Linked DNA regions of Caenorhabditis elegans. The protein of the gene in region 2 purifies or fractionates together with the protein of the main gene of each other region. This does not show direct contact. Each region holds a gene or a part of one and is shown on either strand. Other genes may lie near its edges.

Region 1 (7,533 bases), on a different chromosome or scaffold from region 2:
GATGCTGTAAGATCAATACTTTGAAAGGATTGGAGGATTCAAGTTAAATCTGTATGATTATCTCGTTTCGCACATTTTGAACTTCTTCATTGGAAAATCAATACGCTTATACGATTATTCAGTGTAACATTTGTCACTGAACACATTTTTCCGCAAAGCAACGGCAATTTCTGACGGAAAACAACATTGCGAGTCCGCTTGGCAGAGAAAAATACTCCGGTCTTTGTCCGAGAGGACTACGAAGTGGCACGCAACGCTCGGGTCTCGCAGCGACCTGCTGACGCCGCATTTACCGTAGCGTCTGCAGTTCAAATTCGAGACGTTATCCAAAGGGGCGGTTGCACGTTTTTGGCCTTTTTTTTGTCAAATTTCATAATTAAATATTTTTTCCCACGAATTATGACTTTCTAATGTGAAATTTATCTGTTCTTCTATAGGTTATCGTCGAAAAATCAATAGTTTCATGAGGAAATTTTTTTTTAGGCCGGAATCTTTTCTCGAACGAAATCCCAATTCTTACCGATTTGACAATTTATTGTGTCTTTTTCATCCACTAATTTGTATACTTTTCAGGGTATTTTCTAGATAGTCTTAACGGCTACACTTTTTTAATTTCCAAGGCTTTTTTATCCAGCTTTTACCTTTATTTGTTCTTTTTTTTTGGTTCAGTAAAGTAAGGTGGGTGAATTAAAGGTCTCGATGCAGTAAATATAGTTGTGTTTCAGATAGTAGTAAAAATGGAAGCTACAGATAACAAGATTAACGGTAACGCCTCTGAGACTATCAAGGAAAATGGACACTCGACGAAGGGAAACGAGGACAAGAAGATATTCGTTGGTGGAATCTCGCCCGAAGTGAACAACGAAGATTTGAGCTCCCACTTCACCCAATATGGAGAAGTTGCTCAAGCTCAAGTCAAGTACGACCGGACTAACGGCCGCTCCAGAGGGTTCGCATTTGTCGAGTTCACCACTGGAGAGGGCTGTAAATTGGCCCTTGCTGCTCGCGAACAAACCATCAAGGGAAAATCTGTGAGTTCTTGTTTTTTTTCCTCGCCTACTTAAATGGCACTAAAAAGATATAAGTTCAATTGACAATAAACATATTTCTTGTTATAGGTCGAGGTAAAGCCAGCAAAATCGAGGGAAAACAAGAAGGTGTTTGTTGGAGGACTCCCATCGGACTACAGCGAGCAAGATCTTCGCTCTCATTTCGAACAATTCGGCAAGGTCGACGACATTGAATGGCCATTCGATAAGCAGACCAAGGCTCGTCGCAACTTCGCTTTTATCGTATTCGAGGAGGAGGAGTCCGCAGACAAAGCATCTTCCCAGACAAAACAGACCTTCGGAACTCGCGAATGTGACGTGAAAAAAGCAGTTCCACAAGGAAAACGGTTCCCAGGCGCCCAAGGGCGTATGCCAGGTGGTCGCGGAATGTATGGTGGACGTGGTGGAAATAACAACTCGGGATGGTATGCTGGATGGGGACAAATTGGAGCTATGCCATACGGAGCTACTGGAGCAGCTTGGGGAGACTGGTACGGAAACGGTTATTACGGCCAACAAGGTGCAGCACATCACAACAACAGCGGATCATCGCAAGGTTACGGAAGCGGATACCAGAGTTAGTTTTGTTACTATTTGATTCCATGTCTTGTGACTCATTCCACAAGGAATGCATCAGTATACTTATTCTATCAGGTTTTGCAGGAAATAACAGTGGATTCGATTACCAACAAGCTCAAGGAGCCAGACAGGGCAACAATGGCCAACCACGCTTCCAACAGCAGCCACAACAACAAACTGCTCAAGCCCAACAGTTCTAAATGTGCCTTCAGAACATCACCTCAATCACCATCTGAAATGCCTCCATCACAGTCCTCTTCAGAATTCCTGTTTCCTTCCTACCTAATCTTTCAAAAAATGTCCAAATTGTTTTGTCCTCACGCCCAGACTCAATCAAAAGCAGTTACAAATCGACCCTAAATTTCTAACGCGCGTTTTTCTTTAATTCCTTTTTTGGCAATGACGATCTGAGATGTGTTGTTCCCGAGGTTGAATTTTATATCGAACCAGTTTGTTTTGTTTCTCTGATTCTCACCCAAACTATCATCGACTCTCAACTTTTTTCCGTTGGTAATCTTTGATTTGAATAACTCCAGGAATAATAATAACATACTTTTGTTGTTTTAGATGATGTTCTTGTGAACATAATACTTTATCCACCCGCCTTTTTAGATGTGTAGAAGTACTTTATTTCCATCAGTTTTTTCAGTCATTTTTTGTTGTTTTAATTGTTTCGCTCGTTTTTTCTTTGAGCGATTCTGCGGCAGAAAACAAACTGTATTTTTACTTCTCTTCCCTAAAGTCTGTATGCTTCGCCCCCAATTTTTGTCTTTTAGTTGTTGTTATGGTGCTTTTTCCTTTGTTCAGGAACTGGTAACCAATTAGACTGTGCAATTCACTGTAGTTGTCAAGTATATTCACATTGAATTGTGCAGTTAGTTGTTAATTTCCCTCATCTCATTGAAGTGTATCTGATGAATCGTCAGGTGTCCCGTCTTCGTCTAATCTCACAACACCCAGCCACCCAACAAAAGCTTCTCCCTTTTTCTCCTTCGTTTTTTGCCAATCTCACCCGTAAATTCGCTCCCAAAAGCCCCCCCCCAACCGATTCTAATAACTGCCTCTTCGTTTGACATGTTATTTGTTGTCACATTCGTTTTTAATGTATGATAGATTCATGTCAAACATTTGTGTTGATATTAAGCTGAGAATGAAATTTTTGAGGACTAGTTGTTCTTATATTATCATTAAATTTTTATGCTTCATGAATTGAATGCGAACAGGTGGGTTGCCGTGAAAAATATCTCACTTGGGAACAATAAACTTCAATATTTAGAAGTCAATTTTCAGATAAAATATGACTTCAACTCTAGATGCGTACATGAATCGGATGGTGAACGTGGTCACTGGTGATGGTCGGGTTATCGTTGGACTTCTGAAGGTAAAATATCTAGAAAGAAATGTTGCTTCTGCACTTGGCGACAAAGGTTCGAGCCTTTGTCAAGAAATTTCAAAAATGCAGCACATCTTGATTATTATAAAACACGAGATTTTGAATCCCAACTTTGAAGAAATTGTTCAAAAAGACTGAGCTTATGTGTCGGATTAAATAATTAAATTATGTTACCTTTTAAAATTTCAATATTTTATTCAATTATACAATTTTAGGGATTCGATCAATTAATCAACTTGGTGATTGAAGATGCTCACGAAAGGTCGTATTCTGAGACGGAAGGTGTGCTCACGACACCATTGGGACTATATATTATTCGAGGAGAGAATGTGTAAGTTGAAAATTGACGGGACATAATTTAAAAATCGATTTTACCTTGTCACGGTGCTCTGCTTTTGGAATTTATAGGTTTTCTGCGACTAAAATTAGTTGTTGATGAAGAGTTTAGAAATGTCTCTTCTTGAATATCTACTTCATTTATTCCGATGAATTTTACTTCCGAGTTCCCGTACCACCCAATCCGTGGGTCAAACGATCAACAAACCCTCGAAAACATTGGACTCGGCATGCTTTTCCTTCCATTCCGTGCACATTATCGAAAAACTGACCAATTGTTTCAATTGAGTAGTGGCGGAGCCGCCTGCTTCAGCAAAGAAGCTCTTGATCATGTACGAGAGTGTTAAAAACCAAGACAGTTTTTATTGCTCAAAATCCATGGTCTTCTCTTGTTGAGAGGAGATGTTGGACTTTTAATAAAAGACCGGGTACAAATGTTGAACATTTGGAGCATTTTATCTGGATTTTTTTTTCACATCGCCCCATTAAACCTTATAAAAAGCTTCACATCGCCTTGCTTGTTGCAAATTCGCTCTATCGCCATTCTTCAATCTTTTCGAATCTAAAAACTCGTTGGTCATTATGTACTCTCTATTTCACCCGGTCTCTCTCTTCTGTTCTTTCTTTTGGAGTGCTCTACGGACCAATTGCTTCAAATGAATTATCGATTTTTTAAATTGTCGCGTTAGAATAGTTTCTCTGTGTTAAAACAGATCGACCTAATTTCAATTATCATCAAGAGTTTTTTTTTCTATTCGATTCAATCTTTTCCGATGACATTAATCATCCGTTTTTTATAATGTTGCACCCATGCGATGATAAGATTTAATTGTGGTCGTTGACTATCAGTGCTGAGAATGGAATTTTCTCGTTCAATTCACTTCAAAACGGGTCAATGTTATCATCTCAGAAACATCAAATTGATTTTACTTCATTTCTTCCAGTTGAATATTTTCTATAACGTTCCGTCGACATACCTTCGCCAGTCAACATTGAGTCATCATTTAAAAAAAAAAGAAAGGTGCAAGTAGTCCTGGTACCTGATGTTCTATAACAACCAGATCAAGTGCTTCTGTTGTTCCTTTGATCATTCAGCTTTCGGCAGCCGTCTAAAAACATAGCAACTGGTCGTTTCTTGTGCTCTGTTACGGTCGGAAACACGGAAAAGTCGGGGAAGCATGACGTGTCAAAACATCTCTTCCAATCGTTCGGCATTTTCTCGCCCTCAATCACAATTTGATGCTTGACCAATATGATTGCCCGAAGCCTTGCAGCAGCACCAGCAATTTATTTTGTTTGTACTCTTCACATTTTCGCCGGCAACAAAAAAAAACAACGAAAGAGGGAAATAGTTATAGTGAACGAGAGAACGAATACGAAAATGGACAACGCGATGGGAAAAATGTTGAAAAAGTATCCGTTTTCCTATTCTATGTCGGAGCTTCACAACTTGCTTACTAGGTTTTCAGTTTTCAGTTTTACTTTGTCGTTTCTATCTGAAAAGCGCTTATAGTTAAAACATATTCAGTTAAGTTCCAAACGAACTAAAACTTTAAAAAAAAAACTCCTCGTTGAGCGAATGCGATTGATTATTTTATTGAAGTCTCTAAATTGGCTCTTCCAGTCTCTGTTCAATACCTAATTGTTTTCTGATTAGTTTCATTATATTTATTGATTTTTCGTTTCCGATACACCACTCTTCTCTATACTCCACTCCAAATGTCAAGTGATAAATACTCATATTTCGAAATAGTTTATTTTTGGATAGGATACCCCTTCTGGCCCTATTCATGTCCCATTCAAAACACAATTTTATGAAATCTTTTCTCACTTTTCGTCAGTGTAATATAGCTGGAAAAGATTAATGTAGACATGCGTCAAATGTCCGAAACTTTCACAATTTCACACCTTTCAATTCATTCCGTTCGAACTTTGTTCAAAGAAAATGTGATTCCATGAAAAAAGTGTTCGGAACCTGTTCTGTTTCCCTCTGGAGAGGGGTGGAGAAATTATCGGAACACTTTTTCATTGCAAAAGTTGAAACTAAACTTTTAAAGCTATGATGTATATATATATAAAGACCAATTCTGCAACTACTGTAGATTTTTCCAAATGTTTCTTTTTGAAAATCTATCATTTTTCAGAGCGATTATCGGTGAAATCGATGAAGAACTCGACAAACGCGTTGATCTGGAAAATGTGAAAGCGGCCCCACTTGCACCAATTTGGATTCCCCAATAATTTCCACACAAATCGATATTCTGCATTGACGCGTTGTATTGACTGGTTATTCTCATCGTTTCCCCCCACCATTTCTTCTCCCCATTTAAATCATTTTTCCCAAACTATTCTCCATTCTTTTCTTGTTTCCTTGACGGTTTTGTATTCATACCATCGTTTCTTTACCATTTTTGGATCTCTAATTTCCTCTCAAATATTGTGAAAATTTATACATATTTATTTGCTTTGTTTTTAATAGTTAATGTATTAAATATGCATTTATTCAAATTGCAACGTCATTGTATTTTTTCGTGTTTCAACCGTTTGTTTATCGGTTTAACATTTCTTTTTTTAATATCGTTTCCTCGTTGAACTTTGCCATTTCACAGAAATAACCTTGCAGAAAATATTCCAGTGCTCGATTTCAACGGAATATACGGATCGAAGTTGCAAAATGAGCAGTATCAGAGTGAGTTAAATAGAATGGGGAAAGGATAATTTTGAACAAGAGTTTTTGCGCGTTTTTCAACTTTCCTACCAGAATAAAAGCATAAAGTAAAAATCGATAAACATTTTTTCCAGAACCAGAACGACAATCGTCGACCAACATTCCGTGATCATCGTACACCACAATTTAGCGGTCGTGGTGGTAGTGGTGGTGGCGGACGCCGTCTTCAAAATCCAGCTCATTATCCACAACGCAGAGATATGTCGCCGATTCGCAGATCTTCAGCAATTTCACCAGTCAGACGTTCACAGGATCATCGCCAACGTTCGCCTGAAGTTCGACGTCATCGATCACCGGAAAAGGAGTCAAAAGACGCAGTGGTTGGTAGATTCACACTCACACCCAAAATATCTCTATAGTAACCTCTTCTGTAATGGAATTTGTTGGATTATTGACTGAAACTTATCCTCCCCCACCGATTTCTTCGGGGGCTGTATCTTGAAACGCGACGAATCTCATCAATCTAGGTCACATCGACTGGATCTTCACGTGGAGCCACGTCAGCATCTGTCACGTCGTCATCGAGAAGGCATGAGAGTGGGGAGAGACATAGAGAGACTCATCGTAGAGAGGATAAAGAGAAGAAGCCAGAAAAATCTACGGTTTGTAACTAAAGACTAGACTCACTGAGCATTTTTAGATCCGAATTCAGTTATTTTCTACAAAAAAATATAAATAAAAACATTTGCAGGATCGTGATGCTGATCGTTCAAACAACATTGCTGCCAGAATCCAGGCTCCAGTCGTCTCATCGTCGACCCACCACCATCATAGCAACAGGCATGAAAATCGAAAGAGCACAGCAGTGGTAGGTTTATACAGAAATTCGTCAAGCTGAGTCATTGTATTCCCACTGTCACTGTAAACGTCGTCAAATAATAAAATGAGCTCTTCAGATTTATTATGCTCATTGGCTCATGTGTCACCGTGAACATAATGGATTCGAAGTTCTTCTAAACGATTCATTAACCACATGAAAATCATATATATCTATTCATTTCCCAATACTGAAAACTTGGAAATTCTTGAATTGAAAATTCCCATCCCTGTCCAACTTCGTCTTCCTCTTCTGCTTGCACCTACAATTCCGTCTTCAGACACTTTCAACTTTAGGCACTGAAGGAAGTGATAATAGAATAGTTTGCACATCGTAAACAATCGCTTCATATTTTATTTATTCCTTCTTTTCTGCTGCAACTTCAACTGTGTGTATCTCATCGAAATTGCCTTTTTTCGGCATTCTTCAAATTTGAATAGGCGAATGCCCATGCAAACAACGGCATTTATGTGATAGGACGTCGGTGCGAGAATTTTTGATGATAAGAATGTCAAACTGATTGTAGTGAGACTGAGAGCACTGAGTGATTGATGGCATTCCGCGCCTCTGTGTTGCTTTTCGTGTTTTAATTGAAATTGAGGACACAAAGTGTGTTTCTTTTCTTTTATCC
Region 2 (5,663 bases):
GGCCAGTTGACACTTGCTGGAGTTCTTGTGGCACCAAGAACGTCTGTGGCTGGAAGGAAAATTACGATTTTGGAAAATTATGGTACAAGAAATAAACCAAAAGAATATAGATTATTTCGAAAATGTAGTCAGAATCATTATTTATCGTATTATTCCTAATTTTAGATATTCAAACTATATTTCTCAATTCTAAACAAAATTTGAACACTTACCATACGGTTGTGATGTTCCCCAAGCCATTTCAGCAGCGCTTGCATAACTTGCTGGTTTCAATTTCAACATAACCAGTAGCCATCTCCAGAAACGATATACCCATCGGAAAACTGCCAAAGAAACAACTACTGATGACAACTGGAACAATAGAATAATTATTATCAGATTTGTTTTTTTCAATAAAAAACTCACCTGCGTCTTTAATCTTCCAAATTGCTCTACAACTCCAATAACTGCTCGAAAAGAACTATAAACTGCATTATGAGTTGAATTGAGCATGTTGGCGACAGATGAGACTGCATTTACAACTGATTCGATTGATTGAAAAGCGCCTCGAGACTGTTCTTCTGCAAGTCGAGCAAAATTGCTGTCAGGTCCTTGACCATATCCCATATGGTTGAAGCCACCACCAAATCCACCGTAACCCATTCCTCCTCCATACATTCCCCCACCACCATACCTAAACAATATACAATTTTATTAATACAAAATATTTTCAAATCGAGGCTGCGCGAAACGTAGGCCCCTTTGAGTTATACAGTAACCCATTCTCTATCATTTCGGTACTGACTTTATTCGGTAAATTACCCAGACATGATATTTTACGATTTTGCGTCAAGGATACGGTACCCGGTCTCGAAACGACACATTTTTCTTAAATATGAAAAGGTGTGCGCCTTTAAATAGTACTGTAACAGCAAACTCTCGTTGCTGAGGGACTTTCATCGTTTTTTCATGCTTCTTCTCTCTTTTTTATTAGTATACTTGAATTTAAAATTAATTTATCGGAAAAACTACGAAAAATCCATGAAAATAAGGCAGCGACGAAAGTTTGAAACTACAGTACTCTTTAAAGGCGCAGACATTTTAGCATTTACGAAAGAGCATTCAAAAAAAAAAAAAATATTTAAAAAATAAAACTTACATTCCAGACCCTGGAAACGTATTCATTCCATATCCTCCACCATAACCAAAACCTGTATTGATCATTGGATTCGACATTTGATTCTTAAATATTATCGATTAGTAGGAGTTTCAAAACAATTTATCAATAATTACATCAAATGACCTTGGCGGCAGCGGAGGTGGTTGATTTGTTGGAGGTGCGGACATTATAATTTATCTGTAATAATAAATGGAATGTCGTTATTCGATTTTGAAAAATGGATTAAATTCAAGAAAAAATAAAAGAAATGGCAACTATGAAATTGCCGTTAGTCACATTGTGGACTACAATCAATGACTGCAGCGGGCGGTTGATAAGGACAACGTCCCATACTAGACTACATTGTAGTCTAGTAAAAGAGTGGGAGGACAGATGAAAGATCTTAAGATATTGTTGAAGTATAATTCAATTTATTGTAATAAAATTTCAAAACATGTGAAACAACCCGACTTGGGGAAGATCAGAAGAGACGGAGGAAGGTTTGGTTTTTGGGTAAAAAAATAATTTCAAATACATAAATTATTTAGAGTAAACGAGAAATTGTTATCAGCAATCGAAGCACTGCAGGAATTATCGAGCTCCTCCGCGTCCGCCTCGGTTTCCACCACCTCCGCGGTGTCCTCCACGTCCTCCTCGTCCACCACCACGACCACGGGATTGCTCGCGCTGCTGTTGACGACGAACTTCGTTGACTTCAGTTTTCACGAGATCGACCACCTGGAAGAATGGGAAATGTTATGTTGTCGAAGAGAAAATCAGGTACTTACTGTTTCTGGAATTCTGAGATACTTGATAGTAGATCCCCGGACATACGCTTCTGACATTTTGAAGAACTTGTCACCGTCCTGTAATTTAACATGTATTGTTAGTCGCAAATTTGCATCAATCCGAGAGTTTTAGATGTTTGAAATATTGAGCTGACATATGAATGCAAATTAAATATGAAAGGTTCTTTCTAAATTAGAATCTGTGAGCCGTTTAAAACAAAATTATGTTTTTTTTCAATAATAACGAAAAGAAATTTCTGAATAGCCAGTTTCTCCTGGGCTAACCATTTAATTAAACGAAACACTTACTTTTGATGTGAAAATAACATCCACCAAATGAATATTCATCCACGAATCGCAGGCTTTCAGGTGACCGTTATAAGTCTCGCCGTTCTTCAACTCCACAAGCATCGGGTGGTTTTGAGCGGTTTTGAGAAGAGAAAGTGGCAACTGAAATCATACACTATTTGAGTTCAGCTTAATTCGACTTACCACCATGACTATATTGATTTAGTGGGGTTGTGATTGTTTTTCACTAGTAAAACTTAAAGTGAGACAATCTGCAAAGAATAAATTAAGATTTTAAACTGAAATTACGGCGAAAAGACAATTCGAAACAAAAAATTCCGATAAAAAAAGATTTTAATGCACACAATATTTACGTTAAACAAGGCGACCATGCGTCATTTCGGAGGGTCGTTGGTGGATGATCATTTGAAAACAGGGTTCACCTCTGCAATCGATTTTTCTTTGTTTTCATCTCAAGATTATTAGTTTTATTTTAAAACATGATTTGAGGAATTTTAATATTTATAGGTTCAATGGCTGATGATACCGGAGAACATCCGGTATGCTTCAACTGCACATTACGAGTCGACCAAACCATTCATGTCAAATGCTTTGAATGTCCTCTGCGAATTTGTATCCTCGTGAGTTGACAGATTGTGAAGTTTTTAAGAACATTATTTTATTTTTAAAATTTCAGTGTTTCCAATGCGGCGCGGAATCACCACCACATCGCCGAGGTCACAATTACGAGCTTGTCAAGCCAACAAGTAATCCCGAAGCAATGAGCTGGACACACGAAGATGAATTCGAATTGTTAAAAGCTGCTCATAAATTCAAGATGGGAAATTGGGGAGAAATAGCTGAAAGTATTGGTCGCGGAAGAAAAGATGGTCATAATTGCAAGGATTACTTTGAAAAACATTTCGTGCGTGGATGGATTGGACAATTTTCCATAAAAAGTTCAAGTTGGGATCGAATTAAATATGGGATGTATATAAATCAAACATTAGACAGTGTGCTACAAAAAAACTGTTTGGAATCAACGGAAAGAATGCTTCTGATTCGAGACGCCGTTCGTGCATCTGGAGAAAGCTGGGATGAAAACGATCCGAAACTTGCGATAAAAGTGCAACAAGTATTAGAGCAGTATGTGCAAAAGTAAGTGAAAATGTCCTATTTTTCATATATTTAGAATTTCTTCAGAGTAATCGATGGTGACATTGAAACCAAGTATGAGCGCCCAAAATTCCTTACAAATCAATATGAGACGGAGCTTAGCCCAGATGACTGTGATCCTGATAATGAAAGAGATATGAAATCGAAGCGATCAGTAAAACAGGAAATAAATACTGATGATAGTGATAATGACAATTCGCCGGGCCCGTCTTCCAGTTGTCGGAAAAAGGGGCCTCCGAGTCCAAAGAGAAGAAAAACTACTCGAGTTATGAGAGAATCAAGCAGTGATTCGGACGATGATGTGAGTTTAAGGAAAATAACTAAATTCAGTTTTATGTGTATTTTTTCCAGAAAAGTCAAGCTTCTGATAAAGACACCTACCACGGCATGGAACGCGAAACAGAAGAAGAAGATCCTCCAAGCGCTTTTGAGACTGCACAGGAATTTGATACAGAAGATGAAGAAGAAGAGAAAAAACCAAAGAGAGGAACAGCTTCGAGCTCAAAGAGACGAAAGCGAAGGAGGATGTGGGTTTCGAAAAAAGATAGAAGATTGCATGAATTCCGTAAAAAGATGAACCGTGAGCAGAAACAAGGAGAAAAAAAGTTAGAAACTCTCGGCGCAATTTGTTCTTTAGAAGAAGTTAAAGAGCTCAGAAGTGCATATCCTCGTCTACTTCATGAAAGTGGTGTATCAAAGTCGGAAACTCGTCCAAAAATGAGAAGAAGTGATGAGTTGAAAATTCTTGGATACAATAACGAACGTGAAGAATTGGAGTGTGAATGGTTCAATGAAGCTGAACAACTTATCAGTCGCCTCACAATATCTGCTACGGAACCTCAGAAAGATCAGAGACTCGATATGGAAAATGATATTAAGTTCGCCCGTTTGAGACATTACGTTCGTCTACTCGGAATTCGGAAGGCTAAACGAAATACTGTGCTTGAACATGACAAGATAAATGAATTCATGAAATTCTACCAAGAAGCATGCTACGCAGCAGCCAAACGTCCAGTGAGCCAGCAGGAGATAATGGATTCACGTACTGAAAAGGAGAAGCTATTGGCAATGACTCAACAATTCCTGACTAGAGACGAGTATCGTAGCCTACGAGCATCCATTGAACGTATCGATAATGTAGTGGAACGGATCGAAGTACTTCAGGATCTTCAGAAAAACGGTATTAAAATTTTTATTTATATTAAAATCAATTTAAAATGAACAATTTTCTTTAGAAAAAAACATGACAACTTTGTCCTATTGAAAATTCATAAATACCGTTTGAAATTCTTATTATTATTTTATTTTTCAGGCGAGACCACTCTCAAGAATGCTCCAGTTGAACGCAAATCGAAGAAAAAGATGAGAAAAATCGATTGTGAACAGAAGAAAAAGATTGCTACCGAATGGAGCAAGTTTAAAAAGTGGCACACTGAAGGATGGGAGTAATTTTATCTCGTATTCGATTACCTATTTATAACATATTATTATTAATTTTCCCCGTCTCTGTTTGTCATATTTATTTTCACTTTCTAATTCATTTCCATCCCTTGATTCTCTAACTCATTACAAGCTCTGTACAATTATACAATTACTCCACCGTCAAAAATCTGTATTATGTTTTTTTTTTCATAATTTCATTTGGTCCTAATACATGTCTTCTCAACCTTATCAGACTGTTCACTTGTTTACTCAAACAAAAACTCGTCATCTCCTAGGAGCACAAAAACTGAGTCACAGAATGGAGACATTGTAAAAATACAATATACAAATTGTTTGCTCCTTTTACAACGAGACGCAGAGACAGGACAGTCTCCGTTTCGCAAGGACACTCGGAAGATGGCAGTCGGGTCTCTCTCTCACCTCTCTCGTTTTGCCCCCAATTTTCTCTTTACTATTAACCAATTTTTCTTTTTTCACACAATTTACCACGTCGCTTTTGTTTTCAAGGAAATCTGAATCAATCTTAAAGTTTTCTAAAAATAGAAACATGAGAAAAGTGGGCGGAGTCATCTGAAATTGATGAGATGACAAGATATTTAGTAGTTTTCATTGGAAAAGTAACTTGTCTTCATCTGAAACAACATTTGACACTTAATTTCGTATTTACTCCTCTCAAAAATCATGACTTCACCTGATATTATTGGAAATTGTGTTGCAGACTTTTTCGGTTTGTTGTGCATAAAAATCTCTTCATTTCTTTGTAATTTTAGAAAAGCTTCATTTCGAACAAAAACTTATTACGCTAACGCGAAATTTGGCGGTTTTTGGGC
Region 3 (8,918 bases), on a different chromosome or scaffold from region 2:
TTTTGTCGAAAAAAATCGATAAAAGCTCGACAAAAATGAATGAAACTGGTTTTCAAAAAACTGCATTCGGCGAAAAATAAATAAAATATTTAAATGAAGAAAATCAAAGCGCGCTCCAATGCGAATTTCTTTGGGCGCGAATTTGAAAAAAAGTGATGCTAGTACAAGCGATTTCAAGCTTAAATATAAAATCAGGGAAATTTTTTTGAATTTTTTCACATAGATATTCGAAATCAGGGGAAAATTTGGAGTCAATTAAAAATAAATTAAAACAATGTAGTCAACGGACATTGAAGAGTGACCCCGACATCACCCGATTAAATAGCAATCGGAATGAAAAAATGCGGAAAAAAAAAGAAAAAAATTGTGACGTTATCAGTTCGAAAAGGACGTCGAACCCGGAGCAGACCGCCTGTCATGGAAAAAATATTTAGTCGAGTTTTTTCATTTTCAATGACGAATTGTGGAGGAGTTTCTCACAAAAAATTCAAAAATTGCACTTCCGGGATTTTTCTACTCAGTAAGCCTAGTGGGGAAATTGCTTTAAAACATGCCCATAGGGTCACAATGACCGAATATCACGATAAAAAAATTCAAAAAATTTTCTAGATTTTATATGATTTTTTTTTGAAAATTGAAAAATCTCAGTTTTTGCCTAATTCCTATTTGAATTACCGCCAATTGAAATTGTTCGATGGAGCGCACTTGCATTATTTTTATTTATTTATTTTATTTTTCTCATTATTTCACTGATTTTATTCGTTTTTTGGGGGTTTTTAATCGGAAAAATAGAGAAAAATGCAAATTGGTCATTAAAAAATTACTGAAAATGGGTAAAACTGTGTTTCGACGCCAAAAATCCTGAAAATAGCATATTCCACAGTTTTACTCATTTTCAGTTACTTTTTAATAAATCTTATAAGCATTTACCTTGCATTTTTCTCTCTTTTTCCGATAAAAATACACAAATAATGAAGAAAATCAGTGAAATAATGAGAAAAATAAAATAAATAGTGCAAGCGCGCTCCATCGAACGAACCCAATTGGCGGTAATTCAAATAGAAATTAGGGGAAAACTGAGATTTTTCAATTTTCAAAAAATCATATAAAATTTAGAAATTTTTTTTGAATTTTTTAATCATGATATTCGGCCATTGTGAAGCAATTTTCCCACTGGGCGCACTCCACCTTAAAAAAATTTCATTGAAAATCAAAAATGTTGCCAATTTTTTTAATAAAATCCTTCCGAAATCTGAAAGTTGGTAATTTTATAGAAAGTTTTAATTATTTTTCTATTTTTCGCGTCTAGAAACTTCAAGAAAACAACACAAAATGACGTTTGGTCACACCACAAAACACATTTTGTTTGTTTCCGATGGAAACAAAAATCGTAATTTTTCCATTTTCCCCTTACACAAAAGAAAGGCAAATTTTCGAAAATTTGATAAGAAACTTGAGATAATCAATAAAGGTTCAAAAAATATTCCGGCGTTGAAACAATGGCAGTTGCCCTTCACCACGTGATCAGGTGACCTATGCGCACGCGCGCGGGTCTCCGAGGACCACCTCTTATCGATCATTTCTGGCGGGGGGAGAATGGTCAAGTATTGAACACAGAACGTCTGCTTCGTAACTGCTGGAAAAAGAAGCCTGCGATGAAAAACCAGCTCACTGTTCATAACGAATTGGGAGCCCACAAAAATGGAAAAAAAACGGGGGATGGGAGACAATAAATAGAAGGTCAAAGGTGGAGTATCGAAACCTGAGATTTTGCATTTTTAGACCCAAAATACTACCGAAAACTACCTAATGAGGCGTTTTGAAAATTTCTCAAAAAAAGGTTATGGCGGTTCAAAGTTCTGGGAAAAATAGCCCATTTTCAGCTAAAATCGAAATTTTTGCCAACTTCTCGGTGTCGTAGAGTCTGGAACTTAAGTTTTATTTAATTATCACTTTTTAAACAATATTTTGGTCTTTTATTAGACATTTATTCGTTAATGTAAGCACATTTTCGACCAGTGGGGGACAAATAAAAGTTACATTTTTGTGCCCCAATGATCGAAAAATCAACTAATCAACGTCTAATAAAAGACCAAAATATTGTTTAAAAAGTGATAATTAAATAAAAATTAAGTTCGAAACACTGAGACACCGAGAAGTTGGCAAAATTTCGATTTTAGCTGAAAAGGGGTATTTTTTCCGAAACTTTGAACCGCCATAACTTTTTTTTGTAAAAAATTTTCAGAACGTCTCATTACAAAATTCGGTAGTTTTGGGTCATTTTAGGTCTAAAAAAGCAAAGTCTAAAATATCGGTACTCCACATTTAAAGGGGGAAAGGAACAAAACAACAGAACAGATGAAGAGAAATGATAGTGCCAAAATTGAATAATACTATAATAATAGTCCAGAAAGAATCGGAGCCAATTACACCAATAAAAGCAAAAAAAAAACAATGGGAATTTTCAATTTTCAATTTTCAAATAATTAATCATCCTCCTCATCACTGTCTTCATCGTCGCCGGCCTTCTTTCGGTTATCTCTGCTGGCTTCTTCCGCGTCGACTTGTTGATCCAAACCCTTTGGAGCCATGAGTCCATCCTGAAAGAAAAATTTTTTTTCGTTTTTCTAGCTTTCAAGGTGGAGTACCGAAATTTGAGGCTTTGTTTTTTAGACCCAAAATGATCCAAAACTACCAAATTCCGTAATGAGACGTTCTGAAAATTTTTCAAAAAAAAGTTATGGCCGCTCAAAGTTTTGGAAACATGTTATATTTTCAGCTAAAATCTCAAATTTTGGCAACTTCTCGATGTCGCAGCGGTTGGAACTTAATTTTTATTTGATTGTCGTTTTTTAATGCATGTTTTGGCATTTTATTTCGTGTTTTTTCGTTGACTGAGATTCTTTATGGTCGATGCGGGCACAAATACGATAAAAGTTTGAGCCCGCATCGACCGAAAAAGCATCTCAATTAACGAAACAACACGAGATAAAATGCCAAAACATGCATTAAAAAACGACAATCAAATAAAAATTAAGTTCCAACCGCTGCGACATCGAGAAGTTGCCAAAATTTGAGATTTTAGCTAAAAATATAACATTTTTCCAAAACTTTGAGCGGCCATAACTTTTTTTTGAGAGATTTTCAGAGCGTCTCATTACGAAATTTGGTAGTTTTTGGCCATTTTTGGTCTAAAAAGTTTTTCGTGATAATTTTACACGAATTGGCAAGTAGAGCTTACACGTGATGCGAATCATTGATAAAACATCAATTTCTGTTTTTACTGCACTGAAATTCCGGCACAATAGCTCTCGTAAATCGACACAAAAGTAATTAAATCACTCCGCGGAAAAATGGAATTTGGATGATTCTGATTTTGAATTTGATTTTAAAAAAAAACCGTTAACCACATTCAAAACAAGAATCGAGTTATTCAAATTTCTTTTTTCCGCGGAGTGACTTAATTACTTTTGTGTCGATTTACGAGAGCTATTGTGCCAGTACAGTAAAAACAGAAATTGATGTATTTATCAATTATTAGTATCACGTGTAAGCTCTACTTGCCAATTCATGTATTATAAAATCATCACGAAAAAATGCTTGAAATCGTCTTAAAAACTCCAAAACTCACATCATCCTCATCCTCTTCCTCGTCCTCGTCTTCCTCTGATTCCTCCTCATCCTCATCTCCATCACCCTTCTTCTTCTCATCATCAATATCCGTCACAATTCTCGCCTCCTCCTTGATCGTGAATTTTCCCTTGAATCCTTCAATCGCATTTTTGATAGTATCCAGAATGCTGTTGACGGCCTCAATTCCACCTTCTCTGTCCAATGTTTGTGTGGTGACGACGAAGTGGGGAGCGGCGATGAGATTGATCTGAATTAGACAATTATTTTTTAAATATTTAAAAAAAAACAATTTCGCACTGCGCACATGGGCGTGGTTTATTGGAGGCGGGGATTCCGGCCGCAACCCTGCGGCGCGCTTTTTTCTCGCTTTTTGGGTGCGGTAATTTTCCTTTTTTTTCGTTTTTTTTGTCCAAAATTTCATGATTTCGATCGATTTTGGCCGTTTTTTTTTCGAATAAAGAAGTGTTCAGCTATTTTTTAAATGAAAAATAACCAAGTTTTCACATTTTTTAACCGAAAAAAAATCACCCAAATCTTGCACATTATTTGAAATTCCCCTGTTAATTTATCTTAATATTGTGAATTATTGTCATTTTTAAAATGTCCTTCTTGATAATTTGTATATTTAAATGAAGAGAAAGCGAGTTTTATCGTATTTTCAGAAAGAGAGACAAAAAAGCATTTTTTCGGGTAAAAACTGTGTTTAAAAAATAGCTGAAAACTCTCTTTCTGAAAAATATTATAAAACTCGCTTTCTCTTCATATAAATATACAACAAGTTATAAAAGAAGACATTGAAAAATGACAATAATTCACAATATTAAAAGAAATTAACCGGAGAATTTTTCGGGTAAAAACTGTACTATGAAAACTTGGTTTTTTTCTTCGAAAAAACGGACAAAATCGAGCGACATCGTGAAATTTTAAACAAAAAACGCAAAAAGCGAGAAAAAAGCGCGCCCATGTGTAAAATCTATAAAATGAAACCTTAATCGGGAAGGTTCCATTTGAGCAGTTCTTTCCAGCAATAAGTGCAGCCTTCACAGCATCAATACCATCATAATCGAAGCAGGAGACTTCAATATCAGCGCGAATTTTAACCGCCTGAGGGGTGAGCTTCTTCCTAATGTCCTCCAAGAGTTTCTCCTTAATATCTGCACTAATATCACACTCATCCAAGATCGTCGGTTCGGTGATCGCCTTCTTGAATGCGTCATATGAAGCTGCTTTCCGTTTCTCTTTGCGATCAAAGTGCCACGCGGTCTTTTGGTACAAATCCTCCAACTCTTCGTCGGTAGTGTATCCGACTTGCTCGGCCACGTGTCTCAAAATGCTGTTCACCATTTTGGCGTTCGCGAATCGCTCGTCGCACTGTTTCAAGTCTTTCTGGTAGACACGACGCTTCGACAGATCAATGTAACCTTTGTCCTTGTCGACACGGATCACGACGACGCTTTCACTTCGGCCGACACGGATTAGCTTGTTCACTGAACGGATACGACGACGGGAGAGCTCGGAGAGCAGGATCATACCCTCTGAAAAATGATTTAATTTAAAGGAGGACGAACGGTTCGGACGATTTTGAACGTATAGACTCAAAATGAGCTCAAACGAACGAATTTCGTAATGAAACTGCTCAAAAATGTTTCAAAAATTTTTTTATGGCGGTTCAAAATTTTGAAAAATTGCACTGATTTTAGCTAAAATCACGAATTTTTCCCTTTTTTCCGTGCCAAATCCTTCCTAAGTTAGCTTTTTTGGAATCATCGTCTTTTATTACATATATTGGTAGTTTATCTCATTTAATTTTACCGATTAAAGTATATTTAAAGCCGATAGGTAACCAAAAATCAACGAAATTAAATGAGATAAACTACCAATATATGTAATAAAAGACGATAATTCCAAAAAAGCTAACTTAGGAAGGATTTGACACGGAAAAAAGGGGAAAATTCGTGATTTTAGCTAAAATCATTGTAATTTTTCAAAATTTTGAACCGCCATAAAAATTTTTTGAAACATTTTTGAGCAGTTTCATTACGAAATTCGTTCATTTGAGCTCATTTTGGGTCTATACGTTCAAAATCGTCCGAACCGTTAGTCCTCTTTTAATTCGATTTTTGTTTTAAAATGATGATTTTAAAAACCTTTATCATTGTACTCGGAAAGCCGGACGTAGGCACCCATATCGGCAATCATTTTAACATTGGCGACAACGGTCTCCTCGACATCGGGGAATTGATTCTCGTAGAAACGGCATTTCATTAACGCCATCTGAAATGAGAAGAAGAAAAGTTTAGCATTAAAAAAAAAGAAAATTGAAAAGAAATAAGAAAATTATAAATAATGATTTTGGGAAATCAACCATTGAAAATTAATAAATTCCCAATTTCAAATTCATTATATCGCGAACAAATTATTCATTAGACGAAAATTTCCAACAAAAACAAGCAAAAAAAATGAAAAAGCTACGATACCTACACAAAATGAATGAAGGAAATGACCTACTCTAAACAGAACAAAAAAAACGAAATTTAAAAAGTATTTAATTGAGAATTCGGGCATGATTATTCTCGAAAGTTCAACAGAGTGAAAAAGGCTCTTTGAAAAGGGGAAAATGAGTGGAATTCGTCTAAAACACGTAACCGGAGATATTTAGGATTGAAGGTTGAGAAGGGTTTGTTGGTTTCCTGGAAGATAGGTGACATTCTTGTTCTTGGCCATACGCTCGGCGATCTCTTCGGCGGCCTCAATCTTTCTGAGCTCGACAAGTCCGTCTCCGGCAGAGGCAAAGGCCTTGGCAAGAAGCTTTGCGGCTTGAGCATCTCCTTCGGCGGTGGTAACGGCGGCGATCTTCATTTGTTCAGCCTTCTCGACAAGGTATCTCGCTTTTTCGGCTTCTTGCTGTGCGACTTGCTTCATTTCGACGGCTTCAGTGAATTCACGTCCAAAGTTCAAGTGGGTCTGAAAAATCATGGAAATAGCTTAAACTTCATAAATCTGGTGAACTTACAATTGCAATATCATCAAGGAGAAGTCCGAACTGTGCAGCACGTTCACGAAGAGCCACGGACGCCCGTTGGGAGACAACCTCACGCTGGGTGATCATCTCATGAGCATCGAATTGCGCCTGGAATTAATTTTAACAAATTTTAAATCAAAATCAGTTCGCAATATTTAAATTAAAATTTTTTCTCACCACAACAGCCTTCAAAACTTCATTTGTAATGGAAGGAAGGACTCTTTCTGCGTAGTCCAAACCAATGTTCAGGTAGATGTTTGGAAGACGATCGGGGCTTGGTCTGTGAAGGATACGGAGAGTAATGTTGACGTTTTGCAAGTCTTTACTTCCAGTGATGGTGGTGACGGCTCTCGGCGTTGACCGGATATCAAAAATGATTGGTTTTTGTACCCATGGAATTAAGAAATGAGTTCCTTCTCCGACGACCTCGTTTTTCACTCCACTGAATCGGTCGAAGATGACTGCTCGTTGACCTCCATCAACATTGTAAAGAGCAGTTTGTGCGATTCCTCCAGCGATGGAAAGGCCCACTCCGACAGTTCCCAAGCGACCCAAAAGCTTCTGTGCAGATGCAGCCATTCTGGTAAATGGAAGTTAATAACTTGGACAAAAAATGGGAAATAGAAAGAGAAATGAACGAGCTATGATGCAAAATTGATAATAATCCTAATTATCACGAAATTAGATGGATGAATTAAATGGTGTCAGGAAATCTAAATTGAAAAAGTGAGTTTAGTCGAGTAAAATTAGAAAACAAAAAATACTTCAAAAATAATTACGGAATGTTATAAATAATGCAACACAAAGTATTTTTCGACTTTCTCCACGAATAAATCGATAATAACAGTGAGCCTGAATCAAAAAGTACAAAATATCAATAACTTATTTATTTGCAAAATTATTTAATTAAATTTTAACTAACTTTTCTGCTTTTTTAGCTTAAAAAATCGATTTAAATGATGAAATAAGTTGCGCAAAAAATAAAAGAGTTTAAAGGGAGGCTGCATTTCATCGAGAGGGTCTCGCCACGAAATGCGCATCAAACGAGTGTGACCGTACCTCAGATTTTGGGAGACACACTCACTGAATTTTTGCGAATATTTTAGGATTTCTTTTTGTTCTCAATGGTTTTTCGCTAGGTTTTAATGAAAAAAGTGTGTGATCTGGTCGATTTTAATTATCTTTAAAGACAAAATTTGTATTTTTGTAGTAATTTTATCCGAGAATATCGGGAACCTTTCATTGAATATTTTTCTCTGATTTTTCTTCTCCATTTTCGATCGAAATTTGCCGCTTTTACACATTCAAATTGTTTACTTTACAGGGTATGGCTCACGCGTTGAGAAAGACAAGAAAGCTCCGTGGTCACGTCTCGCACGGACACGGACGTATTGGAAAGCACAGGAAGCATCCTGGAGGTCGCGGTAACGCCGGAGGTCAACATCACCACCGTATCAACCGTGACAAGTACCATCCTGGATACTTCGGAAAGGTATTATTTTTAAGGTACTTTTTTAAAAGTTCGTTGGAAATTATCCGCTCCTATCTTGGCGCTTCCATTGGTGAATATGGCTGTGTATGTTATAGGAGAGATAGTAGTGCCTTTTGGCTTTCGGATCTCCTTCGGTGTTTGTCTTGCATCTCGACAAATGTCATCCTCTGGGTTCGAGACAATTAAATCTAATATGTTCTTTATTATCTGACACTCAAACTTTAATTTTCAGGTTGGAATGAGAGTGTTCCATCTCAACAAGAACCAACACTACTGCCCAACCGTCAACGTCGAGCGTTTGTGGTCTCTTGTCCCACAGGAGGTTCGCGACAAGGCCACCGGAGGCAAATCCCCAGTCATTGACTGCACCAAGCTTGGATACTTCAAGGTGTGTTTTGAAACAAGTCAAACAAGAATTTCTCTCGTCTTGGCGCTTCCACTGGTGAATGTGGTTGTGTATGTTACGAGAGACAAAGTAGCGCCTAACGGCTTTCGGATCTCCTTCGGTGTTTGTCTTGAATTTCGACAAATGTCATCCTCTGGGTTCGAGACAATTATCTTTCATGACTATGAAACGTAAATTTAACTGTTCTTATTTTCAGGTTCTCGGAAAAGGACTCCTCCCAGAGACTCCACTCATCGTTAAAGCCAGATTCTTCTCCCACGAGGCTGAGCAAAAGATCAAGAAGGCCGGAGGAGCTTGTGTTTTGGTGGCTTAAGCCATGTTGTTACCTTGTATTAAAACAATGTTTCAAGTTGAATTTGTTCTTG

What was found.
Region 1: the proteins of lsm-4 (region 2) and lsm-8 fractionate together in Caenorhabditis elegans (co-fractionation; one large-scale study listed by BioGRID). This does not show direct contact.
Region 3: the proteins of lsm-4 (region 2) and eif-2alpha fractionate together in Caenorhabditis elegans (co-fractionation; one large-scale study listed by BioGRID). This does not show direct contact.

Annotation. Positions count from the first base shown.
Region 1 is NC_003282.8:6,323,608-6,331,140, forward strand, and holds lsm-8 (U6 snRNA-associated Sm-like protein LSm8), read left to right. Parts: upstream 1-2,918; 5' UTR 2,919-2,925; coding exon 2,926-3,009; intron 3,010-3,236; coding exon 3,237-3,352; intron 3,353-5,501; coding exon 5,502-5,598; 3' UTR 5,599-5,872; downstream 5,873-7,533. Other genes in the region: sqd-1 (RRM domain-containing protein), read left to right, coding at 738-1,031, 1,119-1,626, 1,704-1,828; Protein seu-1, read left to right, coding at 6,032-6,046, 6,160-6,405, 6,553-6,687, 6,777-6,893.
Region 2 is NC_003280.10:7,250,678-7,256,340, forward strand, and holds lsm-4 (putative U6 snRNA-associated Sm-like protein LSm4), read right to left. Parts: upstream 2,487-5,663; 5' UTR 2,425-2,486; coding exon 2,419-2,424; intron 2,377-2,418; coding exon 2,236-2,376; intron 2,005-2,235; coding exon 1,927-2,004; intron 1,919-1,926; coding exon of another isoform or gene 1,885-1,918; exon of another isoform or gene 1,877-1,884; coding exon 1,730-1,876; 3' UTR 1,555-1,729; downstream 1-1,554. Other genes in the region: prx-13 (Peroxisomal membrane protein PEX13), read right to left, coding at 1-49, 213-351, 406-673, 1,139-1,221, 1,273-1,326; ada-2 (SANT domain-containing protein), read left to right, coding at 1,885-1,918, 2,743-2,855, 2,912-3,372, 3,418-3,691, 3,742-3,970, 4,028-4,570, 4,703-4,839. UniProt on the Caenorhabditis elegans protein: Plays a role in pre-mRNA splicing as component of the U4/U6-U5 tri-snRNP complex that is involved in spliceosome assembly, and as component of the precatalytic spliceosome (spliceosome B complex).
Region 3 is NC_003279.8:2,069,669-2,078,586, reverse strand, and holds eif-2alpha (Eukaryotic translation initiation factor 2 subunit 1), read right to left. Parts: upstream 5,908-8,918; 5' UTR 5,899-5,907; coding exon 5,781-5,898; intron 5,169-5,780; coding exon 4,621-5,168; intron 3,882-4,620; exon of another isoform or gene 3,881-3,881; coding exon 3,632-3,880; intron 2,601-3,631; coding exon 2,487-2,600; 3' UTR 1,662-2,486; downstream 1-1,661. Other genes in the region: phb-1 (Mitochondrial prohibitin complex protein 1), read right to left, coding at 6,289-6,597, 6,647-6,763, 6,833-7,234; rpl-27A (Large ribosomal subunit protein uL15), read left to right, coding at 7,983-8,147, 8,380-8,535, 8,750-8,866.